Linked DNA regions of Oryzias latipes. The protein of the gene in region 1 purifies or fractionates together with the protein of each later gene. This does not show direct contact. Links are inferred from orthologs where the notes say so. Each region holds a gene or a part of one and is shown on either strand. Other genes may lie near its edges. The genes, in order: ap1b1, ap1s1 and ap1m2.

Region 1 (3,658 bases):
TAAGGTGGCATGATTAGAGAAAAAGGCGCACAGGCTTCCATCCAGCTGAGCCACTTTCTGCTTTAAGAAAATCCAGACAGATCAGTTTGTTAATAAAGCAGAATTAGAATTTATAGGACTCGTCCTCTTTCATCCTCATTTAAATGTAATAAGTTAGTTTTGCAGAAATGTGAAGGAAACTGAGCAGGAGAGGAATCTGTAATGGCAGCTTAATGGAGAGTTCCAGCAGCAGACTCTATTTTCTCTGCATGAACAAAGAGAGTATTTCACGTCCTGCTGAGGTGTAACCGACTGATGCTGAAGAGAAAGGTTTGTCTCAAATTAGGGCCTGTATCTTAGTTGGAGTTGGTCTTCAGGGTGAAACATCTTTCTTTTTTTTTAGTGGTCTAGCACATTAAAAGACAGTTTCTTCTGACAGCTTTAGGACATGACCAGAGTCTGTGAGGAGCTTGATAGTACATTTTTAAACTAACTGGAGCAGAGCTGTCAAACGCATTTATTTATATATTTATATATTTTCTCGACAGATGCGGTCTCCAACAAACTGCAGGGTAGCAACATCTTCACCATTGCAAAGCGAACGGTGGATGGCCAGGACATGCTCTATCTGTCTGTGAAACTCACCAACGGCATCTGGGTTTTGGCTGAGCTGAGAATCCAAGCTGGAAATCCAAATTACACCGTAAGCATTTGTTGTTGCACATGATCACAGCCGTGCATTTGCTGCTACAGTATGTACCACCCAAAGAAAGAGCTGGTGAGACACAGTGGCACCTTTTTATTGAAAACGGAAAGGCTATTTTAAGAACATCCCACATGCTGTGCACAGATTCTCAAGAAGGAAGTATAAATCTAAAGGGAAGCAGAAAGATTAATCTCACTTCTGGGTTTTTATTTATGGAGCATTAAGATCCAAGCGGGAATCTTTGCAGCCCACCATCTTTTTATAGTTCGGTTTGTTTGTTTTGTCTCCAGTGATGGTGAAAGTCCAAGAATAGAATTCACTGCAGCTTTTTTCCCTTAAGAAATCTGTCTTTGTAAACGTCAGATTTCTTATCAGATTTCATTGTAAACATCATGTAAATGTAAATGCTGCGTGAGCAGAGATTTAACTTATTGGAACAAAAAAAGGTTGTTTTGCCTCAACTGATGCAGTGAAGAGTTTCTCTTTCCTTTACCCATTTCAAGCAGATACTTGCTGGAAAGCTTTTCAAAAATACTCTTGATTTTTTTTTTGTAGCTTGAAAACTTTTAAACACATTATAAAAGTGTGTTTGTGGTTCTAAACAGTAAAAATATTCACGCATCAAGCTCTTAATATACTCGTCTGAATAAGACATGACCAGACGGATCAGAATTTCCTATTTCGTTTCAAAGAAAAGACAAAACTGAAGAAATATGATAAAGCAAAGCAAATATTACAAAAATGCAAAATAAAAACCTTTCAATGTTGAGGATTCTTCTGGTAGGGCAAAAACAATCACAAACAAAACATTATACCGATCTTTTTTGGTAAAAGTGCAAAATATGCCGGTCTGAATTTTACAATTTCAAAATTGTAAAACTAAAATAACATTTTTTGGAAAATATGTCTAGAAAACATCAACTTTTGACTGGAGGAATGGAAGCCTCGTCTTTAGTGATAAACAGGATTGTGACAAATATCTTCCAAACACGATGACAAAGAGGTTTCTCTAGTCTGTAGCTTAGGTCAGGAGTTTACTGGAAGTTTAAGCAGCCAAGACGATCCAAGAACTGCTGGACAAACTCATCAATCCAAAATTACTTATCGGGATTTTTGGTGGATTTACTGACCACCACACAAGGACACAGAAAGAAAAAAATACTCTTGGTGATGTAATGAGTCGTGACCCCAAATTCTTCTCAATCAATACAATCAAGTATTTGCTCAGCTTTTGTGATGATGGTTATGCAGTCTGACTCATCCAGATTCTGAAGAATCTTGATTTGGTTTTCGAGCTTTTAGATTTAACATTTGAAGGATGCAGGCAGGATTCTAAAGAAGCATTTGCAGTTGGAAATGTCTCACATAACAAGCTTGACTTAAATATTCATGAATCGAGCTCTTCTCTGAGGACCTTCACACATTTTTTTCTCTAATTGTCTCACTTCTTTCTTTCCATAAATAGTGTAGAAACATTTGCATCTTCCATTCTGCACTTCCTGCAGAAATGAGTTAAATGAGAGCGCGGGACAGAGCGCTGGCCGTCATCTTTGTATATCATGAATGGAGATGGATGATAAATTCCCATTTGATTGGACAGGCAGACATGACAGAGATTGATGCGCCGTAATGAGTGATGAGCATGCCGAGGCAGGGAGAGCGGCCGGCCGGCCCGTGATTGGAGTGTGTTGGCTCCTGCTGTGTGTGTGTGTTTAGCTGTTTACATGGTATTTTCTGTCCGTTCTGATTTAGCGTGTCTCTGTTTTGTCAGCAAACCGCAGGCCTCACATCTGATGAATTATGTTTGGCTTAAACATGCAGGATGAGCAATCTTGAGCTGTGACCTTGGCGTGACTCCTCTCCCTGTTCATTTCTCTGTCTGCTTTCCCTTCATGTTTTATTTATGAGGTGGCATTAACTGTCTACTTGTTTATCTCTGCTTGTCCATTTGTCACTTATCTGGACCGCACTTATTAAACTTAGAATTTTGATCCTATTTCTTGTCATCAGACAACGTCTAGAACAAAATTGTGTAGTTTTGTTCTGATATGAGGTTTTTCCTTTGGCTGAAAAAATCCCACAACTTTTCAACGTTAAATTTCCAAAATCCAGGCTGCTCTTCGGTGAAGCTGCAGCGGTCCCCCCCAGATTTCACAGATGGATTTAAATCGTACAGTCAAGACAGGACGAGACCTTCACTCATACTGTGCTGCAAGCCCAGAATGCACTTTGGTGCTCGTTCCTCTGAACCGCTGCCTGCTGCATGGTCCCTGCGCTCTGTTGGCACCGAACATGAAAGCCAAGCTGCCAAAGCCTTTTGTCAGCTGCTATTTTTAGAGCTAAAGAAGTAAAGCCCTGCCACTGGCTGTTTGCGGAGCTTGATGGTGTTTCAGAAGATGAGACCCCAAAGTGATCAGCGCTCATGTTCATCAGAGCGTACGGCTTTCTGCACGTTGCAGCAGAAAGCTCCTGCTGTGTTTGCAGAAATTGCAAAACTGGATTCACATTGTTTTACCAAGTAGCCTAAACTACCTTTTAAGAAAACTAAACTTTGCTTCCCCCAAAATATAGCAGTTAAAGGAAGATGAACATTATCTATGGGGTCATTTTTAAATCATTTGCTGTTGACACAAAACTAACAGACCCTGTAAAACATTGGATATTGATTTTTTTTCATTTTTTTTTTCCCCCCATCGGACACCAATGAGACAATTTGACTGCAAAGGGAAAAGACCCCCCCCCCCCCATTTCCAAATGATGCATTTTATTTCAGACTTTTTTCTGTCATTTACGCCTCCGTTGCCAAAGCTCTATCATGGTGGCGAGAGTGAGCTTGAAGGGCGGAGTCACAAGTTGATCAGAAACATCATAAAATAAAACTGATTACAGCAGAGTCAGACAGCAATTCCCTTTATTTTTTTAACTTTTGTCTTTTAATTTCTTCCATTTAAAACATTTTATCTGGAGAAGACT
Region 2 (3,658 bases), on another chromosome or scaffold:
AAGCTCCAAGATTGCTCGCCATTTTTGTTTAGGCGGGGGGCATGATGGGGCTGAAAGCTAGCGGTATAGAGTGTTACCAAAAGGGATGATGGGAAAGGAAGGTAGGCGTACTCCACGCCAACACTCCTGCCCACAACTCAGAGGCAAATTTCTAATGAACTACTGCCGCTCTGCAGAAACTATGTCCCAGAAAATGACAGCGATTTTTATTTTATTTAATTTATTATGTCTAAAAACAGCATAATTATAACTAAAAGACCACTGGGAATGCTTTGACCAGATCCAAAGATGATCAGAGTGGAACTTTAAGATGTCCACTTGGACTACAGATGTTGGGCTACATGATATGAAGAAAAACCTGTGATTTGCAAAAGTAGTGATCAATATTGCGATGATGATATAACTTGCGATAAATGAACAAAAAGGAAAAAACAACAAAAACATTTCCATTTCACTGCAAAAGTTTAATTTAAATATGAGTCAAAACACCTTAAATTATTCTCCAAATGACCCTCGTCTAATTAGGAGGGAAACATTCAAAATAAAAGCTCCATCCGATTGGTCAACAACATGAAGGGCTCCATCTGATTGGCGAAATGGATAAAGAGATTTATTCAATTCATTAAATAGTTCAAGTTGCCATAAGATTGTTTTAGCACATTTAAGGTTTACCATTTTTTTTTGCGATTTTTGCTGACTTTTGCGATATGGATAATCACAGCTTGAAATCGTCCGGGGGGAATTTTTAATTTTTCGTGATTATATAATTATTATTCGCTATTTTACTTCATTTATTTTGGAGCCGGTTTAGCTCGTGCTGGTTCGCGGCGCCTTCCGTCCGTGAAACCAGGGTTCGACTCCGGGCTGCTCCCTGTTCCCTTCTCTACCCCTGTGCCGGTTCCAAGCCCGGTTTGAGAAGGTTGCGTCAGGAAGGGCATCCGGCGTAAAACATTGCCAAGTTTACCATGCGACTTGTTCGCTGTGGCGACCCCTGATTGGAGCAGCCGAAAGAAGAAGATTTTACTTCATTTATTTTATTTCCCAACTAATAACTCATCCGCAATGATCCAGTATAAACTGAGGGAAATGACTTTAAAAAAAAAAAAAAAAAAACATAACAAACAAAATGGGAAAGTAGTCCGCTCCTGCACTTGATTAGTCAAGCGGTGGACCGAGCGACCGTGTCTCTGAGCAGAGCAGACGGACTTTGTGTTTTTAGGGGAAGGGGTGATGCTTTGTTACGTGTGCGCCATGTGTGGGAGACTTAGGACTGCGATCTGTCCTGCAGCTCTAGGTGAACGAGCTACCGAACTCAGGAGAACCAGGTCTAAAAGTGTGTTTCCGGGCAGAGCTCGGACCGCCAACTCACACAGTGGCTTTGGAGCGGTGTGAGAGCTTTTCAAAGCAGAAATGTCGCTCAGTCCTTAGAAACCATTCAAACAATCACGTGGATTTGTTTCCAGTCGTGTCCCGACAAAATAAAGGCTGATGTTATTCCCAGATATTTACGTGCGGCCAAGATGCAGATTGTGGCGTTTCCCGCATGGATTTTTATTATGGTGTCGACTCGCAGCGTGGCGGGGGGCGTGGCATCACGATGGTGTCTCTCCATAGTGATGTCAGTCAGCCATCACGATGGACGATGGTATCGTACATCGGCACAACCCTAGATGACGATATAACTTGCGATACATGAACAAATAGCAAAACAACCAAAAGCATAATCTCCATTTGACTGAAGCTGTTCTAAAATAATAGTCAACGTAGCTTAAATTATACTCTAAATGGCTCTGGTCTACATAGGGGGCGAGCATCTTACATCAAAGGAGTCCATCCGATTGGTCAATTGCATAAAGGGATTTATTTGATTGGTTAAATACTTCAAGCTGCCATAAGATTGTTTCAGCACATTTCAGCTTAAATGGTTACCATTTAAAGTTTTATGGTCTTCATCTTTTGCGATACGCATCTGGTACAGCCTGATATTGCGATAACAATAAATTTTCTTTTTTCTTTTTTTGTGCACGCTTCCTCCAGCAACAATCTGTTCTTGCTGAGCGACGCTCGTAAGATGTGCATCAAGTTTTATTTTGAACATAATATTTCAATCAATCAGTCAAACTTTATTTATAAAGCACTTTTCCTATAAAAGCACAACACAAAGTGCTTTACATTCAAACAAAACAAAACAACATTTAAAAAAAAGCAGGACAATTAAAATGGAGCCCCCCTCCCCATACCTACAGACAACCCCCAGCCCCTGTCACACCTCCTAGCCCCTAACTTATCTTTGGTTTCTTCATTTGTGAAATCTCCATAAATTATCCCACTTATTGAATTTTTGTCGTCATTTATTTACCTGAATTTTTTCTTCTCTAGAATCTTTTTCTGCTTTTGTCACAATTTGTGTATGAGTTGATGGTGAAAGTTTTTTTTATCGAGCAGTCTACACGACTCTCAACAGTTTCCTGAAAGCTTTTATGTTCTAGAATACTGGATTTCTTGGATGATTCCTTTAACATGAATGTCAGCAGACTTTAGCGATGAATGTCCGATTTAGAGCAGTTCTAGAGTTGAATCAAAACTCCCGTCTAATGGCCGCCTGCGCTGTTGTTGTTGTTGCAGATGCGTTTCATGCTGCTGTTCAGCCGGCAGGGCAAGCTGCGGCTGCAGAAGTGGTACACTGCCACCGCCGAGCGGGACAAGAAGAAGATGGTGCGCGAGCTCATGCAGATCGTGCTGGCGCGCAAACCAAAGATGTGCAGTTTCCTGGAGTGGAAGGACCTCAAGATTGTCTACAAAAGGTGACACGGCCCTGGCTTTTGCACAAACCACACACCGAATGAGCCGACTGACTGTGTGTGGCTCTGGGTTGAGTTTGTGCCGCTGTGCTTGGGGAACAGCAGGACCTAAATGCGGTGACAAAAATGAGGCCCACTCTCGGTCTCCATTAGTCTCTGATCTCTCAGAGGTCACTGTGTGCTTCTCCTGATCTTCATCCGTGTCCTTCAACGGAGAAACCACACCGACTGCTGTTGAGCTGTGTTTTCACGCTGGACTGAAGCGGGTCTCGTTTTAGTCTTCATCCACAGCAAACCGATCAAAAGACAGGAACAGGTTAATTTCCTGTTGACCAACAACTGTTGACCAGTTTATTGCTCCAGAGTTATCATGTTGACAGAGAAGTGTTTGCACACACACATAAAAAACAAATACAGTATTTTCACGACCATAGGGCGCCCCGGATGTTAGGGCGCACCGGATGTTAGGGCGCGGTCTCAGTCACGGGGGATTTTTCCGTCTTTGACACATACAAAAGGCGCACCGGGTGTTAAGGCGCGGGCACGTTAACGCCCCGTTCAGAACCTCAGCGCTTCTAGAGTGGGTTAATAAAACATCCAGTCTCTGTTTTTTGTAGAGAAAATATTTTTATCTTGTTACTGTTCTCCCTAACTGATCACAAACTGAATGGTCGCTCACTTGCAGCGCTCCCTTCCTCCGTACAAGCGCTAAACACACAGCACACACACAGACGCTGCGTGTGCCGTCTCCTTTCTTCCTTTCTATGCGCTAGAAAACGGAGCTGCTTTCAGCACACACACACACACAGAACTGCGCCAGTCTGTCTCTGCATTTCTCCTCCTATGCGCTAGCGAAG
Region 3 (2,735 bases), on another chromosome or scaffold:
GCTCATGCAACAGGAAGAGGAAGGCATGATCTGTCCTGTGATAACACGTGGCACCGTGCACTTCATGTGGATCAAACACAGCAACCTGTACCGTATCCTCATACTCTGCTTTGTACACATTAAAACAACGTTGGCTGCAGAGGAGCTGATAACGTCACCTGACCGTGAACGTGCTGTTGTTAACCAACCTTGACTCAGACTGTGTGCAGTTGTGGCAACCACGAACAAGAACTCAAACGCTTCCCTGGTTTACTCATTTCTTTACAAACTGGTTGAGGTGAGTTAAACTTTGCTTTATCATTTCAACCGGTTTGATAGATTTGCCATCTATCTGCTAAGCAGGTAGAAGTTTACAGAGAAATCTTTGTGTCTACCTAAAACCAAACCTCAGCTGCTCAGAGCACCAACAGATAAAGGATCTGTTTCTGTGATGCAGGTGTTTACGGAGTATTTTAAAGAACTGGAGGAGGAGAGCATTCAGGATAATTTTGTGGTTGTCTATGAGCTTCTGGATGAGCTGATGGACTTTGGATTTCCTCAGACTACTGACAGCAAAATCCTACAGGAGTGAGTGAGACACAGGCGCAGACAAGGCAAATTTAAATACAGCATGTAAGCGATGTTACTCCATAGAACTGAATCTCTTGGCAATTTTTTTCCCCCAGATACATTACTCAGGAGGGGACGAAGTTAGAGGTGGCAAAGACCAAGGTGCCGACCACAGTGACCAATGCCGTCTCCTGGCGGTCAGAAGGCATCAAATACAAGAAGAACGAGGTCTTCATTGATGTCATAGAGTCCATCAATGTACTGGTATGTTAAAGGATGAAGGTCCAGCTCAATTCAGTGCACTTTGAGTTTAAAGAGCAAATTCACATCCAACGCCTTGAGGCAATAGTGTTTCCTCGCTTATTGGGGGGTTTACGTTCTAAAAGTAACCTGTGAAAGGTGAAATCCGCAAAGTAGGATTACAGATGCTGTAAAAGCCTTCACTACACACTTTTCTCAGACATGAACATTTAGACATTTTTCTCTTTGGTTTAAACTCTCAAAGTTCAAACCTTCATAGAAAAATAAGTCCAGTGTCATAGAATGAAAACAAAGATCTGAGCGTGATCAAAGATTTATGTATCTCTGGTAAGCTGTACACATTCTGTACAGGAGACACAGCATGGAGGAGATTGATTGACAAGGTCAACAGCCAATCCAGATGCAGAACACAGTGTACTGTTAAGAAAAAAAGCATGCAAATCTGTTTTATGTCAAGTCCCCACATTTTGTTTCAAACCGTTAATAAATTCTGCAGTTCCTCAAATGACCACTAGAGGCAAGTTTCAGTAGGGAGCAACTCCCATTGACACACATGCTAAAAAAATGTACAACTTTACTACAGAATTCAATTTAAATAAAAGTCTTTTTGTGCTTTTTTTTAAGTAACAGATGGTTGAATCCAACAAAACTTTCATTTTACTTTGCCTTATCTAAGAGATCATTTTAGGAACTTTGTTTGTAGCCGGAATACACACTGATCAATAAACATGGTTGTTATTCTTTAGTCTTTATTTTACCCTTCAGATCCAACAAGTGAGATATATTGTTTTCAGTTTGTATAAGTGACATATTTAAAAAATATATTATTGGGTGATTACGATATGGTTACCTATTTGCCTGCCTCTAGAAAATATTTTACAAGAAGATTGTTTTTTAGGACTATATATCATTTCTACAGCTGCAATTTTTTTGTTGTTGAATTTTTATGTTTATATACCTTTGACTCCTCCCAAAAAGTACCAGAGAGCCTGGAAATATTTGAAACTGTTGAGACATCTCAGAAAAATTACCCTCTATCCACTGCTCTTTTGTTCAGCCGTGCATGCACAGATCAAACCTTTTAAAAGAAATTCTCAGAGGAGACGCTTTCACTATAATCCTTTAGTGATGCCAAACGCTAATCCCAGAGCTGGATCTATGATGCCTGTGCTGCAGCCAGCAATGTGGGCAACATTTCACTGGTTTGGAGAAAACCCAATTCAGTGAAAACAGCAGATTCTGGAAGCAGATTCTGTGGGGCTGCCATTTTTCAAAAGGAGAGTGCTGGTTTGGAAGTTGGAAGATCAGCGGTTGGAGTCTGTGCAGCTTGTCTTTTAAACAATGGTCTGCAGGAGACGCTGTCATCGCTTTGTGATCGTACCAACGTGGTAGACATCAAAAGACCGATGCAAAGATGAGCTGGCCGAGAAGAAAAGAGAAATCAGGCGGTTGAAAAATGGCATCAGATTACAACCTGTTGTCAAAACCTTTAGTGTAAAACTTCAAGGTGACTAAGTCAAAGCTTTTGCTTTGGCTCTTGCAACAGGAAAACCTGAACACAATTTACATTTATTAAAATACCAGAGAAACAAAAAAACCCTTAGTAAAGGGAAACCAAAAAAAAAGCTCTTGTTATTTCCAAAGTGGAGTTACGGACAGAAATAAAATACTTTTTGTTTGTGCTTTTGAAACCATGAACAGCAAAAAATTGAAAAGTCTTATTTACCACTGCACCTTCTAACAATATGATCTGCTATATTTATTACTAAATTAACTTTTTGTAAGAGCAACACAATATTTGATTTGATATTTTTATGTGTGTAGATTTCTCCATTTTGGTATTTGAAAAGACTAAAATAGGTTGTTTTTAACTCTAATTGAGTTCATCATTACTTATTTATTCCTCTTTAAGGTGAATGCCAATG

Evidence for each region.
Region 2: the proteins of ap1b1 (region 1) and ap1s1 fractionate together in Homo sapiens (co-fractionation; 6 studies listed by BioGRID and IntAct, with this or other methods). This does not show direct contact. The link is inferred for Oryzias latipes from reciprocal best matches to the Homo sapiens genes AP1B1 and AP1S1.
Region 3: the proteins of ap1b1 (region 1) and ap1m2 purify together in Homo sapiens (affinity purification with mass spectrometry; 3 studies listed by BioGRID and IntAct, counting the BioPlex papers as one, with this or other methods). This does not show direct contact. The link is inferred for Oryzias latipes from reciprocal best matches to the Homo sapiens genes AP1B1 and AP1M2.

What each region holds. Positions count from the first base shown.
Region 1 is NC_019867.2:12,636,008-12,639,665, reverse strand, and holds part of ap1b1 (AP-1 complex subunit beta-1), read left to right. Parts: intron 1-527; coding exon 528-682; intron 683-3,658. UniProt on the Homo sapiens protein: Subunit of clathrin-associated adaptor protein complex 1 that plays a role in protein sorting in the late-Golgi/trans-Golgi network (TGN) and/or endosomes.
Region 2 is NC_019876.2:26,351,126-26,354,783, reverse strand, and holds part of ap1s1 (AP-1 complex subunit sigma-1A), read left to right. Parts: intron 1-2,625; coding exon 2,626-2,804; intron 2,805-3,658. UniProt on the Homo sapiens protein: Subunit of clathrin-associated adaptor protein complex 1 that plays a role in protein sorting in the late-Golgi/trans-Golgi network (TGN) and/or endosomes.
Region 3 is NC_019859.2:10,446,978-10,449,712, reverse strand, and holds part of ap1m2 (AP-1 complex subunit mu-2), read left to right. Parts: coding exon 1-92; intron 93-209; coding exon 210-277; intron 278-436; coding exon 437-567; intron 568-665; coding exon 666-813; intron 814-2,722; coding exon 2,723-2,735. UniProt on the Homo sapiens protein: Subunit of clathrin-associated adaptor protein complex 1 that plays a role in protein sorting in the trans-Golgi network (TGN) and endosomes.